Linked DNA regions of Arabidopsis thaliana. The protein of the gene in region 1 interacts with the protein of each later gene in a pairwise test. Each region holds a gene or a part of one and is shown in the gene's direction. Other genes may lie near its edges.

Region 1 (6,270 bases):
CCGCCAATTCAACTTAACCGGTAGTAGCCGGTCACCATTCCAACGACAACCGGTTATAAGAAAGCCATCCCCAAAATTGAAAACATTTTCATCGTCTTCTTAATCAAAAAAAAAAAAAAAAAAAAACTCTGAAGCTTCTTCTTTGATTAATTCTCTCCTGGGGAAAAAAAACCCTAGCTCTTCCTTCTTCTCTCTTCTCTTGAATTATCTGCTTTCGAATTTTTTGAAAAGGGAGAAACTTTTTCATCTGGGTCTCTCTCTCTCCCGAGTTTGGATGAAGTTTATTGAAACCTAGGGTTTTTCTCCGACTTGGTTGTTGATTAGAGATAATGAGTGCAATCAAAATCACCAACGTCGCTGTATTGCATAATCCTGCTCCTTTTGTTAGCCCTTTTCAGTTCGAGATTTCTTACGAGTGTTTGAATTCTCTCAAAGACGGTAAAAATCTCCTCTTTCTCCTTCCCCTGAATTGTAATTCATCTCGACTTTATTTAGGTTTTAGTCTCTGCTGATTCTTATGGATTGTTTTCAACACCAATTTGTTGCTGCTGATTGTAATTGGAACATATTGTTACCTAATTGCTTTGTCAGAGTCATGCTCTAATGGTTTGTTTTCTAATTGATAATCTAGAGTCTTGTTGTCTATTAGTTGGATTTATCTATGCACAAGTTCTTGGTTAACATTGTTATAGGGTGAGGATAACTTAGATAGACCCGTGCTTTTGCTTGTGGTACAGATTTGGAATGGAAGCTTATCTATGTAGGCTCAGCAGAAGATGAGACTTATGATCAACTTCTAGAGAGTGTGCTTGTAGGGCCTGTTAATGTTGGCAACTACCGCTTTGTATTTCAGGTAACATATGCACTACTACCTCTTCCAAGCACCAACAAAGTCTTGGTCTAACTCTCTATTACTACTGTTACAGGCTGATCCTCCGGATCCATCAAAGATTCAGGAGGAAGACATCATCGGTGTTACTGTGCTATTGTTGACATGTTCTTACATGGGTCAAGAGTTCTTGAGAGTTGGATATTACGTGAACAATGATTATGAGGATGAGCAACTCAAGGAAGAGCCTCCAACTAAGGTTTTGATTGATAAAGTTCAGAGGAACATACTTTCCGACAAACCTAGAGTTACTAAATTTCCTATAGATTTTCATCCAGAAGAAGAGCAGACTGCTGCTACTGCCGCTCCTCCTGAACAATCTGATGAACAACAACCTAATGTCAATGGTGAAGCTCAGGTTTTACCTGATCAGTCAGTAGAACCAAAACCTGAGGAATCATGATCCTTATACCAAGTCTAGTTGAAGAAAAGTGGATGAGAATTGAGAACTATTGTCTCCACAGATGTTGCGCTTTGCTTTTCTGTCTTTCAAAAGCATTATATGCTGTTTGTTGTACTTAATTCTAGAGGCTTTAGGGAAGTGATTCTTGACATTTTTGTATGTTTATGTTTTGGGCAAAGGTTTTTTAAATCGAAGCAAAGCCAACAGTTGCCAAACAAGATTCTGAGTTCTGATGGTTGGAATTTGGTAATAGGTGTAGAATAACTTCCCTAGATTTTCTCAAGGTACAAAGCGACATTTGATCTTCATCATTTGTTGAAAAAAGTGCCGTTAAATGGTCATAGTTAGCATTGATGATGATGATTATCATCATCATCAACCATAATTCTTTCACCAAAAAAACATGAGTCCGTGATTTTTTTAGGACCGTTTCACAGTTGTTCTGCCAAAAATATGAGTCCGCATTTATTCACCAAAAAAAAAAAAAAAAAAAAAGTAGTACACATTACAATTTCTCGCCTAACGATTTTACTCTGTGGTAAACCGAAAGATAGTTAAAAACGGCTCCATTTCGATTACTTTGAAAAAAAAAAAATGTTTGTTTTGTTAAAAGAAAATATCTTTTAAAATATTAAAAAATATTTTATTCAAACTTTTATTAATACAGATCTAATTACTAAACTCAATAACATTATAAAAGCCGTGTTCGGCTAAGCCCAGTAAGCCCTATATGTTTTGAATAAATACGATATTTTATAATAAACAGATTGTTGTTTTTAAATACCTAATAATACATAATATATTCCTATACTTGACAATAACGAATAAGAATTATATTACCTATTATTTTGGATTTCGTAAAATTATTTTATATTTTTTTTAGGTAAATGGTAAATTTGTAAAAAATAGCTACTTTGATATTTATATTGTGTATTATTTTCTACTCGATAAGATTAATCATCAATAGTTCGAGGTGGAGGGTTAAATTATCTAGGGTCTGATGATCATGTAGAATCACTTCCTGCAAACAAATCACGAGTGTTAGCATATTTATGCTATCCACAGTATCATATGGCTGTTTCTGATTATTTCATAAATATAAGGTTCGTTTCATAAAACACAAAATCTTACGGGTATAAAATTGAAACCAAAGAATTCAATTTCTTAAAAGTGTTTCACTAGGAGCCCTCGTACTTCCTCGAAGTGTACCGGAGAATCTAAACCCAATGTCGAAATCCGGCGATAATCAACCAGTTGATAGATACCTCCGCCGTCAAATCCTCGGAGAAGGAACATACGGTGTCGTTTACAAAGCCACCGACACAAAGGTAAAATCAAAAACCCTTCCCGATTTCGTTTTCAATTTCATCAAGATTTTCAAACTCAACAATCTTCGATTTTGTGATTTCCTTAGACTGGGAAAACTGTAGCAGTGAAGAAGATAAGATTAGGAAACCAAAAGGAAGGAGTAAATTTCACAGCTTTAAGAGAAATCAAGCTACTAAAAGAGCTGAATCATCCACATATCGTTGAACTCATTGATGCTTTCCCTCACGATGGAAGTTTGCATCTAGTTTTTGAGTATATGCAAACAGATTTAGAAGCAGTGATTCGTGATCGTAATATCTTTTTATCTCCTGGTGATATTAAGTCTTATATGTTGATGACTTTGAAGGGTTTAGCTTATTGTCATAAGAAATGGGTTCTTCACAGGTAAGAAGTTATGCTTAGGTTTATAAAGATTTGATTTTGATTGTGTTGATGGTTTGTTTTTGGTGTGGTTGTTAGGGATATGAAGCCGAATAATTTGTTGATTGGAGAGAATGGTTTGTTGAAGTTGGCTGATTTTGGTTTGGCGAGGTTGTTTGGGAGTCCGAATCGGAGGTTTACTCATCAGGTATTGATGCTATGATTGATACGGTTTTGAGCTTGGTAGCTAGGTTAGTGTAGTTCTTGATGATCTTATTGGATTTATTGGTTAGGTATTTATATAGTTATTGATATTTATGGTTGCATTGGTAGCTAGATTAGTCTGGAGTTTGTAGTAAATATCTTGGTACTTCTTCTTGATGATCTATTTTGAATTTTATGCTCAAAATGAAGAGTCGGTACAGAGTATTGAGAAGATATCATACTTTATGTGTGTTTGGTTTTGGTGAGGTGAAAGATTGTATTGACATTTTTTTACCCTAGAAGATTCTGAGATTGATTAGTTATGAAGAAATCTCTTCTATTTTTTGTTTGAATTGACAGGTAGATTAGTCTTGTTCTTGATGATCTATTGGTTTTTTTTTGCTGGGACAAACTAAGAGTATATATAGTGCATTGAGAAGACATACTATGTTTTTAATTCGAATGCTTGCATACCTATGTTATTGGTTTCGGTTGGTGATTACAAGTTTAAGTTTCCGGATAGCATTTTGTTGATTACGGTCATATTAACATTTTGACTCAAGAAGATTCTGCAATTGATTAGTTCTGTAGAAGTCTCTTTTTGCTGGATATGGAAAAATTGATACAGAGTATTAAGAAGACATCATACGGTTTTAATTTTGATTCTTGCATACCTGTGTTTTTCGATTTTGGTGAGATGAGAGATTGATGGTTCAAAGTCACCAGATACAGTTTTGTTACTTACGGATGTATTAACATTGTTACTTTAGAAAGATTCTGAGATTTATTGGTTGTGTAACTTGTGTAGATATCTCATTTGGTTAGCTATTTGTATCTGCTTGTGGAAGATTCGTTAAGTTTAAATTGGTTATACTTATTCACACAGGTATTTGCTACATGGTACAGAGCGCCTGAGTTACTGTTTGGGAGTCGACAGTATGGAGCAGGAGTTGATGTTTGGGCTGCAGGCTGTATTTTTGCTGAGTTACTACTTCGTAGACCATTTCTTCCGGTAATGCTCTATACCCTTCGTACTTCATGTTTAAAAAGTCTGTAGTTCTCTAAACATTTCCTATACTTTCTTCAGGGTTCTACTGAGATTGATCAACTTGGAAAGATCTTTCAAGCGTTTGGTACTCCAGTACCTTCCCAATGGTCTGACATGATCTATCTCCCAGACTACATGGAATTCTCCTATACACCCGCTCCACCATTACGTACCATTTTCCCTATGGCAAGTGATGACGCTTTGGATCTTCTAGCAAAAATGTTCATCTACGACCCACGTCAAAGGATCACAATACAACAAGCTTTAGACCACAGGTATACTCTTGAAAAAGAAACCCACGGGACAAAAATTCTGTTTCATCACTCTGATTATCATTGGTTTTTTCATCAGGTATTTCTCGTCTTCTCCATCACCAACTGAGCCAGGGAAGCTTCAGATTCCAGCTTCCAAAGGAGACGCACTCGAACCAAAGGCCTCCGAGCAAAACCAACATGGAAATAGCCCAGCGGTACTGTCTCCTCCTGGTAAAATGAGGAGAGTGATGGGTCCTGAAGGATTCACTTGAGAAGATGATGTTTCATTTCTTTTGGAAAATATCAATGGATATGCCCAGAAGATTTCAAAATTAGATTTTTACCATTGATAATTCAATATTAGTTAACTATCAAAGAGAAAAAATTTAAAGCCATAAATGTCCTTCTTAGTTCTTACTTTGTTTAATTTACCAAATATGTCATGTATCAACTATTGTTATAATTTCACTATATATCAACTATCTTACCATATTAATATAAATATTATTCAGATATTTAATATGTTAGCACGTTATATTCAGTATAACATGTTATTATAAAGTTAAATTGATTATTTCATATTAATTTGTATGATATGGTAAATGGTTTAATACGATATATAAAAATTTATCGTGATACTATACTAGTTAACATATTAATCAAATAGTTATATATATTTAGCACGATACTATACTAGTTAACATGTTAATCAAATAGTTATCCACATAAATCATAAATATTTTATGCAATCCAATGATAAATACGACAGTGTCGTAAATTTCGGATGAATAGTGTCTTCAGGCAGTTGATGAACAGTATCATGTCTAAAATATCCGGTAATAAATAGTGTTTTGAGACAATGACATATTTAGTAAATTAAACAAAATGAAAAAGGAAATTTATGATTTTAATTTTTTTCTCTTTCATACTTACCTAATATTAAACTATCTATAATAGATATCTAATTTTCAAGTCTTCCAGGCATATACATTAATATAGCTCTTTCCTTTTTTCCTTTCCTTGACTATAATCACTAATGGAGAGGTATATACAGTAATGACTTTAATTTCTAGAATTGCGTTTCGTAATGCTTTTCTACAAAGTAGTTACCATAAAAAAATATCAAACGAGAAGCCATCTTTTGACCTCATCCATGTCTAATATCTATTGACGTTAAATTCCTTCGAACCTTAAACTGATAAAAAAAAATTATCTTCAATAAACTTAAATTTATGATATAACACTGACCGAAGAAAAAACTAATTTTTCTAAAGAAAACACATTTAATGTTTAATTATAATTGCACTAAATTCTCACTCTAAACATTTTTCCATGACTATGAACCAATAATAATTCAAATATATGTACACGTGAGTGTCTTAATCAGTGGTTGATCATATTCATATTGTCAATTTGTGATTAATATTCATTGGGAAGCAGTGATCTTGTTGTATAGGGACTAGGCTTTCACAATATCTGCAATTTCCACTCCTATTGGCGATCCATACATATTTCATTGGCCCACTAAAAAAATAAATTCCAAAACAATTGGCATTACTACAAATACTTACTCTTTCGGTTTCATAAAGAATGTTTTTCTATAATTTTATATTTGTTCATAAAGACTTCTAAAACTAATCACTTATTAAATATGGACTCATGTATATATATATATTTTTTTTAATTTGTATGAAATGTGTCAAAATGATATTTTTTCAAGCCGATGAAGTACTAAACAATCTCTATTTGGTGCGGTTTGGTTTTTGAAGTTATGATTCTTTTG
Region 2 (7,192 bases), on another chromosome or scaffold:
CTTACCTTCTTCACAGAGAGAGAGCTTCATCATCATATGTAATGTGAGATGTCTCTTGAACAATGCAACAAGAAGCTCTCTCTTTCCTCTCGTCCTCTCTCCCTTCCCTTCACCACAATTTTCCCTCTCTTTCTCGCCTCCGCTTCAACAATTTTCCCGCACTTTCCTTCAAACCAAACACTTCATCATCATCTTCATCATTCTTCAAATCCCCAGATATACCCTCTCTCTCCTCCACCACAACAACAACAACAACCACCGAAACCCTAGAATCCTCAATCCACGAGAAACTCATTTACCTCGATTCACTCGGAATCGATTTCCTAACCCTAATCAACCGTCATCCACCTCTCCTCTCCACCGCTCTCTCCGCCGTTGAATCAGTCGTCGATTACATGACCACTCCACCAATAAACTTCACTTTACAAGACTTTCGCCGCCTCGTCTCAATGTGTCCAGAGCTTCTCACTTCACCTTTAACCTCACACACAATCCCAGTCATCACTTTCCTCCTCCGTGAAGTCGGCGTTGACTCTATCTTTGACCTCCGTCAAGCTTTACGACGTCGTCCTCGTCTTCTCGCTTGTAGCGTCGATCACCAGCTTAGACCAACGCTTTACTTTCTCCAGAGAATCGGAATCTTAGATCCGCATAAACATACGTATCTTCTCTCTTGTAGCGTTGACAATAAACTCGTACCACGGATTGATTACTTCGAGAAGTTAGGATTCTCGCGGCGGAGCGCCACCGCGATGTTTAAGAGATTCCCGCAGCTGTTTAATTACAGTATTGCTGAGAATTATGAGCCGAAGTTGAAGTATTTGATGGTGGAGATGGGGAGAGATGTTAGAGAGGTTCTTGAGTTTCCTCAGTATTTCTCGTTTAGTTTGGAGAATCGGATTAAACCGAGACATGAAGCTTGTGCTGCGAAAGGTGTGAGGTTTCCATTGCCGGTGATGTTGAAGACTAATGAAGCTGGTTTTAGAGATACATTGGAGGTATGTTGTGATTCTTCTCCGCCATTGAAGACCTCTCGCCTTGTTACTGTACAAAAAGATTCTTGATTTATAGAGTTTTGTGTGCTAGGAGAACATGGAAGCAAGTGAGTGAGAGTTTCTTGCTTTTTGTTGTTGTTTTTTTGTTTAATGGAGTTGGAGAATTGGTGAGAATTGATGGGGTTTGCTTTGTTTTTAGGTACATTTTTGTAATGAATGATGATGAAGAACTCAATGAATGAAGAAACCAGCCTCTGCCTACATTTTGAGACACACACAGGGATGGTGAGTTAAATCTTGATAAGAGAAAGAATGTTCATTTACAATTCACGATTCCGATGTATTTCGGTCTAGTTATTGTTAGTGAACGAGAAATCAAGTGTATGTAAGTCCAGAAACCGTGTAGAGTTGCGATTTGCAGAGAATTGTGATTCTACAATTGGAGGCAAGATGATGAATGTGTGAACTGATTAGCGTAACGGTTTAGTTATTGGTCTTAAGTCTTAACAGGGAGAATTGGTTCTAGAGCTTTTAGTCCCTTTGATGGTTCGTGAAATGCCAGTGGTCTATGATCGGATTCTCTGTTTCCGTTCTCCTTCTTTTTTTGGGCCTTAAATCCGTTTTTATTGGGCTTCAACTTGATAACGACTTTACATTCTCTCGGCTCAAATGGGGTACACTCGTAATGAACATGAATGAACTTAAGGTACTACAATACAACAATGCCTCACACTCTCTAAGTGAACCATTTTTCTTGTGACCTGTAATAAGCTAACGGCGCAGGACAAGAAAAAAGCGGTACGAAAACTTTGCCAATCTAGGTCTTTACCAATTTCTATTTACCCTTTCTAACTATTTTCTATCACTCATTTGTCGTTAATACTAATTAATGACATCAATCATGTGCAATATTATAGTCCTCCAAATACTGAATTGAATTATGAATCCTTCATCAAGTGACTTTAGACTTAATCTACACTTCGCATCAGTTTTTCCACTGCCATACATGATACAACAACCACTAATCAATACAAAAGGATAAAAAATAAAAATAAAAATATTATTACACATATCATAACGGAAACAGCAGCACATGTACTATAAACAAACTCTATCCCAATCTATTTGCAGAAATCTGTTTACCGACTACACACATTTAAATAAAAATTTCAGATTCAAAAAACAAGTTCTAGATCAAAAATATATATGCATGATCTCCTCTTCTTCACCATTATAAAGAACAGAAAAGAATCTCAATATTCCCGTTACTAAAAGGCACAAAAAGTAATTTCCCTAAAGTAAGTAGGGTCAATCTAAAACTAAATACAAAATCCCGGGGCACAAATAGAAAGAAAAAAAAGTATATATTTATTTCCTTAACATTTTATTTATTATTGCTATAGGCTTCCCTCCACATCTATCCCAACATAAAATTCCCTCCTTCCCTCGTTTTCTGCTCTCTCCTTTTCTTTTCTTCTTCCTCTTTCTCTCACTAAAACCCTTGTTTCCTTCACTCGCCGTCGCTTTTCCCGTCATCGGAATCTTCAAATTCGACTCTCGCTTCACTACGATCCATGTCCGGTGTCGTACGATCTTCTCCCGGTTCTTCTCAGCCGCCACCGCCGCCGCCGCACCATCCACCGTCATCTCCGGTTCCGGTTACATCTACGCCGGTTATACCACCTATACGTCGTCACTTAGCTTTCGCCTCAACAAAACCTCCGTTTCATCCTTCCGATGATTACCATCGATTTAACCCTTCTTCGCTCAGTAATAATAACGACAGGAGCTTCGTTCATGGTTGTGGTGTTGTAGATCGGGAGGAAGATGCTGTCGTTGTTAGATCTCCTGTGAGTTTTGGGTGCTTTTGATTCTTCGATTTAGAGATTTTCCCCAGTGAGATTGGTTTAGAAATTCGAGGATGTTTTGGGGATTTCGATTGCTACTTGTTGCTTCTAAGTCTGATTCAAAAGCTTCGCAGCGTTAGATTATCGTCGATTCGTGTCAATTTTTGTCGTTTGTTTAGCTTCGCGATGGTACATTTTGCTCATAACACTGCGTTTCAATTACACCCAATTGACGCAAATCAGACATCAATTTCTCCAATTGCCATGCCAAATTGGCTCTGATTGTTGCGTGAGGTGTTGAATGTTCACATAGTGTTGAGCATTAGCTTATTGATATCAAAGTATTGGTGTATGAAGCTTGACATTGTTTGTTAATGTATAATGTTTCAAGTAGATCCCAATGTTGTGAAAGTTTATGAGGAATGATATAGATAATTTGTGTGTGGATGCTTTAAAACCTTTTGGATGATATTTCTTTGACCAACTTCTTTAAGCTAATAACAACTTGTTTATATGCAGTCACGAAAGAGAAAGGCGACAATGGATATGGTTGTTGCTCCATCTAATAATGGATTCACGAGTTCTGGTTTCACTAACATACCTAGCAGTCCCTGTCAAACTCCTAGAAAAGGGGGCAGAGTCAACATCAAGTCAAAGGCCAAAGGAAACAAGTCAACTCCTCAAACACCCATCTCGACAAACGCTGGTAAGAAGAATTGTATTCTTGACTCTCTACCCCTTTTGGCCTTTCTATATAGTTAGATCCTTTTATGAAATATCTTTCATGTCTAGAGTAACAAGTAAGTCGAAGAGCTGATTACTTTCCTGGTCAACTTGCAGGTTCTCCTATCACACTTACTCCATCAGGAAGTTGTCGTTATGACAGTTCTTTAGGTAATTAACAACTTTTCACATATATATTTAATATTCGATACATGTTATAGTGTATATGAAGATGCTGACATAAAAGCTGTTCAGGTCTCCTTACAAAAAAGTTCGTCAATCTAATTAAACAAGCCAAAGATGGAATGCTGGACCTAAACAAAGCTGCAGAAACATTGGAGGTGCAGAAACGACGTATATATGATATTACAAACGTTTTGGAGGGGATAGATCTCATTGAAAAGCCTTTCAAGAATCGAATACTTTGGAAGTGAGGATTTTTATGATATAGTATGCTTATGTATTTTGTACTGAAAGCATATCCTGCTTCATTGGGATATTACTGAAAGCATTTAACTACATGTAAACTCACTTGATGATCAATAAACTTGATTAGGGGAGTTGATGCGTGTCCTGGCGATGAGGATGCTGACGTATCTGTATTACAGGTGTAGTGAAACAGCATACACTCAAAAGTCATTGTGCATGTAAATCTTAAAATATCATGTAGTTCTCGCTTCCTTTGATTAATGTTCTTGTTTTGTAGCTGCAGGCAGAAATTGAAAACCTCGCCCTCGAAGAGCAAGCATTAGACAACCAAATCAGGTAAGCATTCATTTAAAGAGTTTTGGGTTATTGTGATTAATCTATTTAACCAATGCTGACGCTTTAACAACTTTTATTCAGACAAACAGAGGAAAGATTAAGAGACCTGAGCGAAAATGAAAAGAATCAGAAGTATAAATCTCTGTCTATCTATCTTTTCGTATGGCTAGTTTGTTCTGGCTATGAGATGGTGCTATTTATATGATGGACACTTAACCAATCCGTTCACATTGTCCAGATGGCTTTTTGTAACTGAAGAGGATATCAAGAGTTTACCAGGTTTCCAGGTCTGTCTTTCCTATTTCATATGTTTAATCCTAGGAATTTGATCAATTGATTGTATGTATGTCGATCCCAAGACTTTCTTGTTCACTTATATCTTAACTCTCTCTTTGCTGTTTCTGCAGAACCAGACTCTGATAGCCGTCAAAGCTCCTCATGGCACAACTTTGGAAGTGCCTGATCCAGATGAAGTTAGTCTTTTTCAGCGACCTTGGATGACATCTGCCATTCTTTGTTAGATTCCAAAACGTTATTATAATGTTTCTTCTTTACTTGACAGGCGGCTGACCACCCACAAAGGAGATACAGGATCATTCTTAGAAGTACAATGGGACCTATTGACGTATACCTCGTCAGGTATTTATGCGTTGGCTTCAAATAATAGAAACATTGTTATTGGCATTTTCCGTGACTTCATATACTCTACTGATGATGGTATACATATAATTGAACGTATCAAAACAAAGATTTCTATGATTTGGAACATTCATTGTCCCGTTTACATGCTTTTACTTTGTCTTCATGTTCAGCGAATTTGAAGGGAAATTCGAAGACACAAATGGGAGTGGTGCAGCACCACCAGCATGCTTGCCTATTGCTTCTAGCTCAGGATCTACAGGACACCATGACATCGAAGCCTTAACTGTTGACAACCCAGAAACTGCTATTGTGTCTCATGATCATCCTCATCCTCAACCCGGCGATACCTCTGATCTTAATTATTTGCAAGAGCAAGTAGGAGGAATGCTTAAGATTACTCCCTCTGATGTTGAAGTAAGCCATCTTCCTGCTTATTTTTATAATGAACATAGAAATAGGAAGTTGTGCAGAGAAACTAATTAACCTGACTCAAAATCTACCCTCATAATTGTTGTTTGATATTGGTCTTGTATTTTGCAGAATGATGAGTCGGACTACTGGCTTCTCTCAAATGCTGAGATTAGCATGACGGATATTTGGAAAACTGACTGTATCCTTTGCATATATGCAATTTGTTTCTCTCTTATAGTTAACTATATCTATCTGCATAAGATATAAATACGCAATCCTTAACTCTAGCAAAAGCTGGTATCGATTGGGATTATGGAATAGCCGACGTGAGTACTCCACCACCAGGAATGGGCGAAATAGCACCAACAGCTGTTGACTCAACCCCGAGATGATCGAATACCAAGCACACTTCTCAACTTCTGATCCCAAATGTGTTACCTCACAACACTCCCTAAAATCATATACAAGGAGGGAGCAACTACAGAACGTGTATGAACCAATGGCAGGTGCGTTCCATACAATGTACCATTAGATTATGATTCATTTATCGCCTAGAGTGATGTTGTAGAGGAGCACCGAGAAACTAATGTAAGTTTAACAGAGAATGTACTTCATCGGCTGCATTGGTACACTATTTGATTATAATATTTTTGACCACTCAAATGCATCTTTATAATCAGCTATATGAAGAAATCCAAACTCAAATCAATATCCGGATTAAAGCGGGAAGTTTAAACGAAAACAAACACAAATATTCTCGCTGTATTAATACTTACTGCTTCAATTTACAGAAAACATGAAAAAAAAAAAAAAATCTGTTTTGTTTCAATTCAAAACTTTCATTCACTTTTCTTTCCCTATATATCTTTAAACAAACGAAAAGGGTTTCTTTGTCGAGTCACGTATATGTACGTTTGCGTTACTATGCCGCTGGCTGAGTTCTGGAGTTAGAACGTCGCAGCTTAGCTCGAGCATCAGTGAGGGGTGATCCCGGAATTGTATCAGGAATGTTGACTCCATCATCACCGTTAAATGTTCCGGCGGAGTCTCGGCCTGGTGTTGGTGGTGGTGTTGGTGGCGGCCACTTCCTCCCTCTGCTTGTTTGCTTCTCTAGCGATCGCAACGCAGATAGTGATTTGTTCAGCGGTCTTGGAGCGCGCGGTGATGGAGGATCATTGTCCATCTCCACCGGTGACTGCGCGTTCATGTTCACGTTCCTCTCCGTTGGCTTTAGCACAAACACAAAAATTCAAAAGTGCAAAAGGGAGGTAATAAACACAAGATTGTGTTTGCATTAGTACATAAAACGAAAATCAAAAGCGATAGAAAAGTACCGGTTGGTTAGCTGCAGCGGCAGAGAACCGGACCGATTGGGCGAGTACGTACTGAAAACCCTGGATCAAGGTGGATTGACCGGCCTGTGCATCAACATTATATGTATGTTGTTAATCTTATAATAATTTAGTCAAACCTTTAAAAAGAACAATTTGTATATATAAGTAATAGAAAGATAATTTAAAAAAGGACCTGGGCGAAGTTGTTGAAGTAAAAGATGAAAAAGTCCCAAGCTCGAGCTCGCAACTCCATGATCTTTCTGTCAATCTCTGTCTCGTGTTGAGCCATGTATGGCTTCAACAATGTTTCATACACATGTCTCGTTCCCTTCATTCATTATTTATTTCGTTATTATTATTTGTACATCACCATAAACCACTAATTAATTATGATCCAACTAATCACTTTTTAAAAGGAAAAATTATATTACCTTTGTTTTAGGGTACCAGAGATATACGAAGAAGACTACTTTCA
Region 3 (5,893 bases), on another chromosome or scaffold:
CTGTTAACCCTTCTTAACTCTTAAGAGTTCACTATGTTCAAATAGGAGCATTTATTTTCGTCTCATTTGCTATATGTAATGTCATATTTAGTTACCAATATTACATTTTATTTTCCACATAATAGTAATTTTATTAAATGCGTGAAATAGACCACAAAAGACTTTGATTCCTTATCAACAAGGGAAGACAATCATAGAAAGAAAAGCACGAGAAAACAAAAATAATTTTGTTTCACCAAAAAAAACAAATTAGACATAGATATTCACCAAGCGAGTTAGCCTAACGACCCAAAACTTGTTTTGAAGTGATAAAAAAATATCCTGCAAATTCATCATCATCGTTACTAATTTCGGTCAATCTTGGCAATTGCAGATCACATCATCTAAATTCTAAAATGATGAAATGCATTTTTCAAGTTATTGTGAAATTGGTCCCTCATCTTGACTACATACAAACATCTCAGAAAAAAATTTGTAACATAATGTAATCATTGTATATATATACATAGAAATGCACAATAATACAAGTCAGAAGTTAAAAAAAGGAAATACAAAAATAATCTGTAAAATACGTAATGTGAGAATATTACTTGTATCTAGGGGGGAGATCGAACAAATGCTGCTGATACTTCACTAACATACACATAAAAGTTGCAGATTTTGGATCTTGCGTCTTCTTGGTTTTATACCCTTTTCTTACATCTAGTCTTATAAATATTAATACTATAATAGAAAAATTAATTATCCTATATATTGAATGACTCGGCTCCAAAGCCATGCGCCTATATATACAAGTCTTTTTATTTTTTAAAAAATTTGTCAAAAAAGGGACCAGAAACATATAAAGATGGGAGCCTCATTTGCTGATGGATAAATAAATATTTATTTGATTTTAAGTTTGTTCAAGACTAATTATAGTACAAATTAGTAAATTGTTGTTCTTTTTTTTTCTTAACATATTACATATTGTATAGTATAATTCCACTTTCATCCAATTGGATAATCAGTTATAATTCGGATGGTTTACGATACATCGGATTCTGCTTTCAATTTTTCTTGTATACATCAAAATTTAACACATGATAAGGTTTTGGAACCCGCTAACGAGACCTACCTATTTTTACAATAAATATACTCATTCAGTATTTGTCTATATTTCTACCTACAATCTATGTGAATTTGCTTACGTATATCTACTCTTCTTATCTACGTACTGTATAAATTTTCATACACAATCTTCGTGTCTCGTAACATCTACTACATGAGTCATATACAACTTTCTCACCTAACATGGAAGTCATTACTCGTAGGCCTAATTACTCGTTACCGTGAATATAACTATAAAAAGTGAGGAAACAAAAAGATTTACGGAGAAGAAAAATTGAATAATAATTGCAATAGAACTATAGGAAAATTTGTATATGACTTAGCAAAAATAATGATATGGAACTAAATTAAAAAGTTGAGAGGATTTTTTTTAGTGGGAATGGTATGGTGTTTCCCCCACCAATTCCTAAAAAAAACTTATTGCAAAATTGCTCTTTTGATCTTTATTTTCTTCCATTGAAAATGAATTTCTAGGTCTGAATTTAATTGAAGTCAATAAGTGGGAAATAACTAAACTAGCTATTCCTCTGTTTTCTGTTCACAATTCTATTTTGAATAAAGTACATTTTAATTCAAACCTCTTAAAATAGAAGTTACTACAAAAGCAACAAAGGGGGTGGTACGTGGAATACACTAATGAGAAATGTTAATAAGAACGTTGTATTTGGAATGGGATTTAACTTTCTGCACATAAATTTCAATGGGATCATTATTCTTTCCTAACTAAATGATTGATACAAATTCAAAGGATCCTATAAATCTTATCTCAGAGACCGAAAGAAAATTCCATTTGTACAAAACAACAAATAAATAGAAGAAAAAGTTTGATGATAACATTCTTAACAGAATCCGTGAACTTTGTTCATGTAAGAAATCTAGAGTGTAATCAAGGAAGTTCAACAGGTAAAAACAATGACATTTATATATGGACGTTCTTAAAACGTGTAAATCTCATATATTTAAGACAGCCACAATAGTTCTAAACGCTCTCCATTCCTGCATTAAGTATTTATTTCTATTAATAACATTTAATTTATCAATAAAGTTCACATTATCATAGACAACTCCGAAATTAAAAAAGTTTTTTTAAAATAAATTTGCTTAAACTTAAATAATCAACAAAATACAAAACAGTTTAATGGAAATAGCAGAAATCTTTTTCAAGAAAATACAATACTATTAGATAAAAACAATTTTGTTAAATTAAAAAAAACCCATAATTGACTAGCATCAAAAAGTCTTCAAACACAAGTAATCCTGCTGGATATTAAAAAAATAAAAGAGTAATCATTCCTTTAAAAAATGTGATTATTTGTCGACCCAAAAAAAAAGAGTGATGATATTATACATATACTCAAATATTAGTGAACAAATAAAACCTAAAATTAATCAAATAATAAAGATTTTTAATTTAAATGTAACCGCTAAATAACGCCCCCTCTCTCTCCCCCACTTATTTTTGGCGGCACCAGACGCGGGAGACTCTCTCTCTCTCTCCACTCTCTCTCTCTTTTTTCTTTGTTTTTTCGTCACTTGCTCCTAAAATCCCAAATCGAGTAATGGAAGAAAAATCAAATACGATGATTTAGCTTCCCTTCTTATTCTTCCCCTATATTCACTGCGATAACTTTGCCTCTCATCTCATAAATTAAAAAAAAAACACTCTTCTCACAAATTCTTTATAATTCCCCTTTTGATGTGTACGGACACACCACCGAAGCAGAAGCAGAAGAAGAAGAACACTTCTATCTCCGCCGCCGCCGTCGTCTTCATCATCATCGCCGCCGTTAAATGGGTGAGCCTAAAGACAGTCTCGCTCTCTTCCTCTGCCACGAATCGGAGTCTTCTCTAAACGAAGACGACGACGAGACGATTGAGAGATCTGATAAGCAAGAACCTCACTTTACTACTACGATCGATGATGAAGATTATGTGGCAGACCTTGTTCTTAAAGAGAATCTCCGATTCGAAACCCTACCCTCTAAAACGACGTCGTCTTCCGATAGATTGATTGCCATCGATTGGATTCTCACTGTCCGTAATCTCAAAAAGATTTTCCCTTTTTTGATCTTTGTCTTAATCTCTGATTGATTGGTTCTTTGTCTTAATCTCAGACAAGAACAAGATTTGGGTTCCAACATCAAACAGCTTACATTGCAATCTCATACTTCGATCTGTTTCTCCACAAAAGATTCATCGGTGTAAGTTTCAATCTCCAGTTTCATTTATCTATAAAAATCTCACCTTTATCTTCAGATTAAAGCTTAAAGATGGTTTCTTTGTAGTTGCAGAAAGATGAAACATGGGCGATGCGATTGTTATCAGTAGCTTGTTTATCATTAGCTGCTAAAATGGAGGAACGTATTGTTCCTGGTTTATCACAATACCCTCAAGATCATGACTTCGTTTTCAAACCCGATGTCATTCGTAAAACTGAACTGTTGATTCTATCCACATTGGACTGGAAGATGAACTTGATCACTCCTTTTCATTACTTCAACTACTTCCTTGCTAAAATCTCTCAGGACAACCATTCTGTTTCTAAAGACTTGGTGTTGTTAAGATCCTCTGATTCTCTTCTTGCTTTAACTAAAGGTAACTCTATTAAGAAACACATTTTTTTCTCAAGATCAAAGCATTTATTGATATCACATTTTTGTTTCCATGTAGAGATAAGTTTTACGGAGTATCGACAGTTTGTTGTTGCTGCTGTTACTACATTGCTAGCTTCTTCTTCTACCTCATCGGATATTAGATTGACTAGAGAAGAGATAGCTAACAAGTTTGGTTCGATCTCTTGGTGGACTTCTAATGAGAATGTATAAATCTTGGTGTCTTTTTATTCGATTTTGATTGTTTGATGTTGATGATCATAATCTTAGGAGTGTTGGGTTTTGTAGGAAAATGTATATTTGTGTTATCAGAGAACGCTAGAGATTGAGGAGAGGAAACATATGACACCTCCACCGGAAATAGCGGTTTCTCGCGAACCGCCGGCTTCAGGAAGTGGCGCTAAACGCCGATTGTCTTTTGATGATTCTGATCAAAGTTCTCCACCAGCCAAGAGAATGCGTAGGCTATGAAGAGAGAGTTTCTTTCTTCTTCAAGTTTTGGCTTATATTGATTTGGTTTCTTTTTTGGCAACATATTGATTTGGTTTTATATTCAATCATTTGATTATAGAGAAAAAATGGTCTGAATACATCGGTTATTTCAATTTTTATGAAGTAACTCATATAGGTTCTTCGTATGAAGGTCTTTGGATTTCTTGGGGATGAAATGTGACTATTAAAACATTAGGGGCTTCTCTGAGAGAATCTAGGAAATATGAGGAGTGAATGTAAATAAATAAGAAAAACAGAAAGGGTGAATAGTTTTAGGCCAATAGTTGCAGTGCCAGTGATTTGGTTTCACATCCTCTTTTATTTTTTTATTGTCTTATTTTTTTATTTGTTATGTTGCAATTTCTTTTTCATTTGATATTACAAAATTTTGTCATAGATTTTTTTTTTTTTTTGGCATCAAAGTCCATTTTTTTAACCTCTTTAACTTTCAAAAGGGCTCATTCATAGCAAATAATAAATGAAAAAACTCTTTTTAAGGTAAGGTAAAATTATTTTATATTTGATAAATATATTTATTTTCTTATCTTTATTGACACTTTTGGTCATCTCCAAAGTGAATCCATCTGTATGCTACTCAACATGTTATGTCCATTCCACAAAGTCCTTCGTGATCTTTTCATGTTCTCAAATCTCAATATATAATATCTTGGAAAAAAATTAATCAAATAAAAAGAAAATTTTCTTGTTTAGGAAAAATCATCGTTACTTATCTTTGATAGATAACTACTTTTACGAATTGACAATCAGTCGATCACGATAAACTAAAACGGATATATATTTTGCTCCAATAAGTTTTCTTTAGCATTATAGAAACCAACAACTTGTAGTGGAACTGTGGAAGTACTTTGGATCAATGATTGGATCTAAAGATGAAACCCCAATTTATACAGAAATTTGCATGTGATGTTTTTAAGTTAACGTACTATTCTACGCGCAAGTCAAAAGTGCATCGTACTCGTACATATAGAGGTAGATTGTTTTTTTTGTGTGTGTTTATAGGATTATTGTTAATATTTTCAATGAAATGCAGTTGAGAAAAAAAAAAAAAAACATATGTGTAATAGACTGAAGAAACAACAACCCAACGACTTGTTTAAGTGAGAAACAACTGTCTCATACAATACAACTTGGGATCCAAAGTTTTGGTTCCATTAATTAAAGCTTTAATTCCAAAATGATTAGCAACGAATTAAAAGACTTATTACAAACAAAATGCATTCTTACAAATTAAGAAGCATAAAGTACTGACAGAATATAATTAAAGATAATGTGTGTGTGGTTTAAGGCCAATGTTTTGTTGCTCTAAGAGATTATTCAACAAATCAAGAAGCATAAAGGGTCAAGCTTTACTTCACCAAGAACTAGTTAATGCTTCTGAATTTTCTGTTGCCTATCTTTCAATGAATATTAGTATGTCCCAATTGTTATTTTTTTTTTTTGCTTATTATCATTGAGTTAAACCATTTTGTTTCTGTTGGGTTTTGTGTAGACATATGTGAGATTCACGGGTAACACAATTTAGTTACAACTCTCACTTTGGTTAGGAGATGGATAAACTAATGACTAGTGAGATTGAAATATCACAAAAATAACTAATCTTTATGTAAATTCTATTTTCATTCTAGATATTAATTAGTCCTTTATTTATGAACATTTATTCA
Region 4 (5,412 bases), on another chromosome or scaffold:
CTGCTTTCAAAAATTTAATAGAGTAATTCGCTTATAGTTTAGTCGCTTTTTTAGTATCCATTTAAAGCCAAAGTAGTAATGTATCTATGGAAGAAAGTAAGAAAATAAAAACAGAGCAAAAGAAGTATCATTTTAAAGTTCAAACAAAGTAGGTTGGTTTGAGAATTTAGGTGATATATTTGTTCAATCTTCACTAGTACCCATTTTATAATGAGAAATTCCTACAAATAGCACACTTTTAAGTTTTTTGGATAAAAATAGCATTAAAAGGTTTTTTAGACATAAATAGCACTCAAATAATAATACCACAATTTTATGGACAATAATAATACCACAATTTTATATAAAATCTATTCAACCAAAATAAGTTAGAAATAAATTTAAAATATTATATTTGGGTTCTCTATTTCCAATTTAGGGTATATATTTTAACTATTTAAAAAAAATTTTGATTCCTTTTAATATTAGTTTATGGTATTATATTTGGGTTTCCTATTTCCAATTTAGGGTATATATTTTCACCATTTAAAAGAGATTTTTCATTTTAAAATTAGTTTGTAGTATTATATTTGGGGTTTTTATTTCCAATTTAGGGTATATATTTCCACTATTTAAAAGTTTTTTGATTCAATTACTTCTTTTGCAATAAATATCTAATATTTTTTTATTCTTTAAAGTGGTTCAAAATCTGGCATTTGTTAAAAAGAAACAAAAAATTGTCACTCTTTCTCTATGAAACATATTACTATTATATTGTTTAAAAAACAAGAAACTATATTATTATCAACACTTTTCTGTTGTTTATTAGCTAATACTCCCAAAACATTTTTTTTGGACAAATACTAATACCCCCAAAAACTAATAAGCTGTTTTTTCTTACGTTACAAGCATATAAATTCTTATGTTTGTTAGGTCAGTCAATGTTTTCTTTCATTTCGTTCATATCTAGAGTTTCAAAGGCCTTTGCATTTCACATTTTCTACATAAAATTAATGTTTTCTTTTCCGTCTAAAAATAGACCAGTCAGGCTTTGGCAGTAAAAGATCAAAGTAAAAAAATAAAAACAAAAAGTTTGTTCAAATGGCGTTTTCACATGGCAGTTTGTTCATTGACTTCTCAATTTTTCTTTATTGACTTAAAAAAAATAATCTGAATATATATGTTGGGAATTTCAAAACCTAACAAAAGGTAAGTACAAAGACTTAAGGACAAGGAAAACCAAGCTGTCACAACCTAATTAGTAATTTAAAATGTGTGATACAATGATGATTAAAAACAAAACAAAGACTTAAAAAGATTTCTAAAGTTAATCAATGTTTGTAACTGTTTGGACGAGATTCCAAAGTGACGAATCTTTTGATACATAAAACTGTACATTACATCAGCTCTATTTATGAGTAAATGACAACTTTATGTGGTAAATAAAATGGTTTAACGATAGTATATGTTATTATCATATTTAATCTCCCCAGCCTTAGTATATTTTAAAGTTGGGTCTTACCAAATTCATGAAAGAACTTTAACACACACAAAATTCATAGAAGAACTTTTTTTTAGCATGATACTAAATTTACATGATCTAAAACTCAAACAAAATGTAATATCTATATATATTATGCTGGTTTTTTTTTCAATATGATTTTTTAATTGTTTGGTACTTGATATTAATACTAAAATGCAATTTTATTTATTTATTGAATTATTGACTTAATTTGTAATAAAATCTAATAAAAACATTACACGTATTAGTGTATTACATATTTTTTAAACAACTAAGTAATAATTTACGGTTATAAATTTTTAATACAAACGGCTCTGTTTATGAATATTTGTAGTTTAAGGTTTTTGCATACAAATTAAGAAAACATACAAATCTCATTTAATTTATCTATTTCTTATAAAAACACCATTAATTACAACTAATCCAACCAATAAAAAAATATGATGCAAAATATAATTGGTTAAAAACTATTAAATACATTTAATGTTTGCATAGAAAAGTGAAAACAACATTTATATTGAAAAAAATAAAAAATTATTGAACTACACTTAATTAAAAACAGAGGATTATAGAGAATTTAAGAGAGAATATTGGATTTTTTTTCCTTCTAATATTGCAAAAGAAGAATCTCTTGAAAAAGATTTGATTATCTTTGATAAAATCTTAATTCTTACTATCAATGAGAAAAAATCGAATAAAAAAATAACCAAAGTGGTAGTAATAAATAAATGTGGAAAATCTCTCAAAAGACCGAAAACCATCTCTCTCTATCTCACAATAAAGACAACTTCTCTCTTTTAATGTCTCTCTGTCCCTCTCTCTTCTTCTTCATCTTCTAACACCAATTCAAGAAAGAAGGAAGCTTAAGAAGAGTCTATCATCAATCAATGGAGTTTCATCTTGAACATCCTCTCTCACATTCTTCACTCCACAATAACTTCAACGACGACACAGACTATGAAACTTTACCACACTCTCTCTTCCTCGTCGAGTTTCAACACATGCCTTCTTCTCATTACTTCCATAGCCTCAAGTCCTCTGCTTTTCTTCTCTCTAATCGAAACCAAGCCATTTCTTCAATCACTCAGGTCTTTTTAACCAAAATTATTTTCTGGGTTTAGTTCTGAATACTGAATCGTTATCGAAAGACTTAACTTTATTTTAATTTGTAACTGAACAATCGCAGTATTCAAGAAAATTCGACGACCCATCTCTGACGTATCTTGCTGTGAATTATCTAGACAGGTTCTTGTCTAGCGAAGATATGCCGGTAAAAACAGAATCTTCCGACAGAATCTGTCCTTTGTTTCATCTGAGTTTTGACTAAATTGTTTTGTCAACAGCAGTCAAAGCCCTGGATTCTTAAGCTCATATCTCTCTCTTGTGTCTCTTTGTCTGCAAAAATGAGGAAACCAGACATGTCTGTTTCTGATCTTCCGGTAACTTAAAACTCATGAATCTTTATAATGTGAATGTGTTTTAAAGTGTTGATAAGTGTCTGAACATTGGATTTTTTTCAGGTGGAAGGTGAGTTTTTTGATGCTCAGATGATAGAGAGAATGGAGAATGTGATTCTAGGAGCTCTTAAATGGAGGATGCGCTCTGTTACTCCTTTCTCCTTTTTGGCCTTTTTCATTAGTCTCTTTGAGCTCAAAGAAGAAGATCCTTTACTACTAAAACATTCCCTCAAATCTCAAACCAGTGATCTTACTTTCAGTCTTCAACATGGTAAATACAGAATTGCTTTTCTTCAATCACATAATCACAATATGCTAAAATCTGTTTGAAAACGCTGCAGATATCAGTTTCCTCGAGTTTAAACCATCGGTGATTGCAGGCGCGGCACTTCTCTTTGCTTCTTTCGAGCTCTGTCCTCTACAGTTTCCATGTTTCAGTAACAGAATCAACCAATGCACATATGTAAATAAGGTAAAGAAGTCTTGAACAAGTAAACCATCTCAAATCGAGCTTTTTTTTCATCGCGGTACTAAGCGAGCATTAAACCGTGGTTGCAGGATGAGTTAATGGAGTGTTACAAAGCAATACAAGAGAGAGATATTATAGTTGGAGAAAACGAAGGAAGCACTGAAACAGCAGTAAATGTGCTTGATCAGCAATTCTCGAGTTGTGAAAGCGATAAGAGCATCACAATCACAGCTTCTTCTTCACCTAAGAGGAGGAAAACTAGTACTCGTCGTTACTAAGCTGAAAAAGGTGGTTAATGGTCAAACATAATCGTCAGATGAAATCAATCACTTAGCTACTTCAAAAACCACTTCTGGTCCCCTTATGAAAATGACACTTGCTTCCTTTCCCCTTATCTCCATCCATCTTCTTCTGCTTCAAAAATAAACCATTTCTCTCTTCCTGGAAGACAAGAGAGTGATGAATGATCAAAGACAAAGTCTCGGGTTCTGTTCCGTTGCTTGTTCCTTTGGACCACAACACAAAACTCAAAAAATTCAAAAGAAAAACAAATTACCAGTCTGTAGTATTTATCTATCTATCTACCTATCAATCATGTTCTGTATTTACAGTTTTGGCTTGTGGAGTTAAGTTGTTTCACTTGGGGGGAATAATCAATAAATATTGTTCTTGTGTAGTGTATATAACCCTATGGTTATGTTATTTATTAATGAACAAATGTGGTCACGAGATAACAATGAATTCAATTTTCAGGAATAAGATTTTGTCTTATGAGACTTCGTTATCCGACTTATATGGATCCAGTTGCCAGAATCTCTGTTGCAGGCAGGCAATATGATACTCTTTGGACCACTTTACACAGTCTTTAAATCATTCAATTGCTTTTGTTCTTACTGTAAATGAATCCCTTGCACTAACCCATATTAGGCCCACTAGCATCATAACGGCCCAAGATTGTGATATACAAGATCCATTCAAGCCCATTACTTAATGAAAACAATTGCAAGACTCAGACTGTGCTGAAAAGAATGTATACCATGGTTTCCAATTTCAGACATTATTGAGAAGCTATAAGAATCAAAGCTTCTGATGTATGTAATGCACAACAACAAAACACAAAGATGAAGAAGATGAATAAAGGGAAGAAAGTGTGTATCTATCACATCTTCATCGTTACCTCGCTAAGGAAATCGCAGGCAATGAAAGAGGGAGAGAGAGAGATCAGATAGGTCCGAGAGTTCCTTCACTTCGACTTCTTCGCATGGAGAGCTCAGTTCTCAGACTAGACAATCTATCACCAGTAGCAACGTGATAATTCTCGTAAGCAGCTGGAGATAGTTTGTGTCCCACAGGTGGAAGACGGCTGCGTCTCTCCTTGGACCGTTTCTGCAATGCTGGTGCTTTACGAGCTGTGGAGGATCCAGGTTTGTGAGAACTGGATGCACCATGGCTACTCTTCCGGCTACTGTTTTTGAGCTCTGATCTAAGGCCTCGGTCCAACTGATGTGTGCTTGTCCCGAGCCGAGCATCTTTAGTGCCTTGTCTATTATAGTATACCAAATTTGGCAGAAGTCCCAAAAGGTACTTTCTCAGTTGTTCATCACCAACATTCTTCTGTGCAGGGTTACCTTCCAAGCTTATAGCCTGAAGAGAACTGTAATTTGCAGCGAGCTGGCCAAGACATTTGGTGGTTGAAAACTTATTGAAGCGTAAATCCAGGACCGTCAATTTCAAAAGTCGATGAAGACCCTCGATTTCGCTGATTTTGTTCCCAGCTAGGTATAGTTCTTTCAGAGAGGAGCACGAAGCCAGACCTAAGTCAACAAGAAATAAGAAAAAGGGAAATACATCAAACATGGTTTTCATATAAAAGCAGATAACTAGGAAATGTCGATGAGCAAAGGTCGGGCCATACCATGACCAAGTCTCAGTATTCGGTTGTAACTCAAATCTAATACTCGAAGCCGAGTGAGTTCACGTAGGCC

What was found.
Region 2: the proteins of CAK4 (region 1) and E2F3 interact in a protein complementation assay, tested with the Arabidopsis thaliana proteins (one large-scale study listed by BioGRID).
Region 3: the proteins of CAK4 (region 1) and CYCD5;1 interact in a protein complementation assay, tested with the Arabidopsis thaliana proteins (one large-scale study listed by BioGRID).
Region 4: the proteins of CAK4 (region 1) and CYCD6;1 interact in a protein complementation assay, tested with the Arabidopsis thaliana proteins (one large-scale study listed by BioGRID).

What each region holds. Positions count from the first base shown.
Region 1 is NC_003070.9:24,892,257-24,898,526, forward strand, and holds CAK4 (CDK-activating kinase 4), read left to right. Parts: upstream 1-2,266; 5' UTR 2,267-2,518; coding exon 2,519-2,620; intron 2,621-2,706; coding exon 2,707-3,005; intron 3,006-3,080; coding exon 3,081-3,189; intron 3,190-4,071; coding exon 4,072-4,197; intron 4,198-4,272; coding exon 4,273-4,508; intron 4,509-4,584; coding exon 4,585-4,759; 3' UTR 4,760-5,003; downstream 5,004-6,270. Other genes in the region: SGA2 (ASF1 like histone chaperone), read left to right, coding at 330-438, 738-853, 927-1,292.
Region 2 is NC_003071.7:15,117,119-15,124,310, forward strand, and holds E2F3 (E2F transcription factor 3), read left to right. Parts: upstream 1-2,470; 5' UTR 2,471-2,569; coding exon 2,570-2,845; intron 2,846-2,881; coding exon 2,882-3,031; intron 3,032-3,361; coding exon 3,362-3,548; intron 3,549-3,600; coding exon 3,601-3,642; intron 3,643-3,682; coding exon of another isoform or gene 3,683-3,736; intron 3,737-3,820; coding exon 3,821-3,995; intron 3,996-4,121; coding exon 4,122-4,173; intron 4,174-4,271; coding exon 4,272-4,330; intron 4,331-4,411; coding exon of another isoform or gene 4,412-4,462; intron 4,463-4,568; coding exon 4,569-4,617; intron 4,618-4,737; coding exon 4,738-4,803; intron 4,804-4,892; coding exon 4,893-4,969; intron 4,970-5,142; coding exon 5,143-5,386; intron 5,387-5,512; coding exon 5,513-5,582; intron 5,583-5,677; coding exon 5,678-5,775; 3' UTR 5,776-6,066; downstream 6,067-7,192. Other genes in the region: EMB3114 (Mitochondrial transcription termination factor family protein), read left to right, coding at 63-1,064; HVA22J (HVA22-like protein J), read right to left, coding at 6,306-6,611, 6,718-6,801, 6,911-7,045, 7,149-7,192. UniProt on the Arabidopsis thaliana protein: Transcription activator that binds DNA cooperatively with DP proteins through the E2 recognition site, 5'-TTTC[CG]CGC-3' found in the promoter region of a number of genes whose products are involved in cell cycle regulation or in DNA replication.
Region 3 is NC_003075.7:17,676,599-17,682,491, forward strand, and holds CYCD5;1 (cyclin d5;1), read left to right. Parts: upstream 1-2,569; 5' UTR 2,570-2,898; coding exon 2,899-3,141; intron 3,142-3,221; coding exon 3,222-3,308; intron 3,309-3,392; coding exon 3,393-3,702; intron 3,703-3,777; coding exon 3,778-3,926; coding exon of another isoform or gene 3,927-3,932; exon of another isoform or gene 3,933-4,007; coding exon 4,008-4,190; 3' UTR 4,191-4,666; downstream 4,667-5,893.
Region 4 is NC_003075.7:1,430,668-1,436,079, reverse strand, and holds CYCD6;1 (Cyclin D6;1), read left to right. Parts: upstream 1-2,218; 5' UTR 2,219-2,388; coding exon 2,389-2,589; intron 2,590-2,687; coding exon 2,688-2,771; intron 2,772-2,844; coding exon 2,845-2,940; intron 2,941-3,021; coding exon 3,022-3,229; intron 3,230-3,299; coding exon 3,300-3,430; exon of another isoform or gene 3,431-3,516; coding exon 3,517-3,705; 3' UTR 3,706-4,236; downstream 4,237-5,412. Other genes in the region: AT4G03260 (Outer arm dynein light chain 1 protein), read right to left, coding at 4,649-5,241, 5,343-5,412.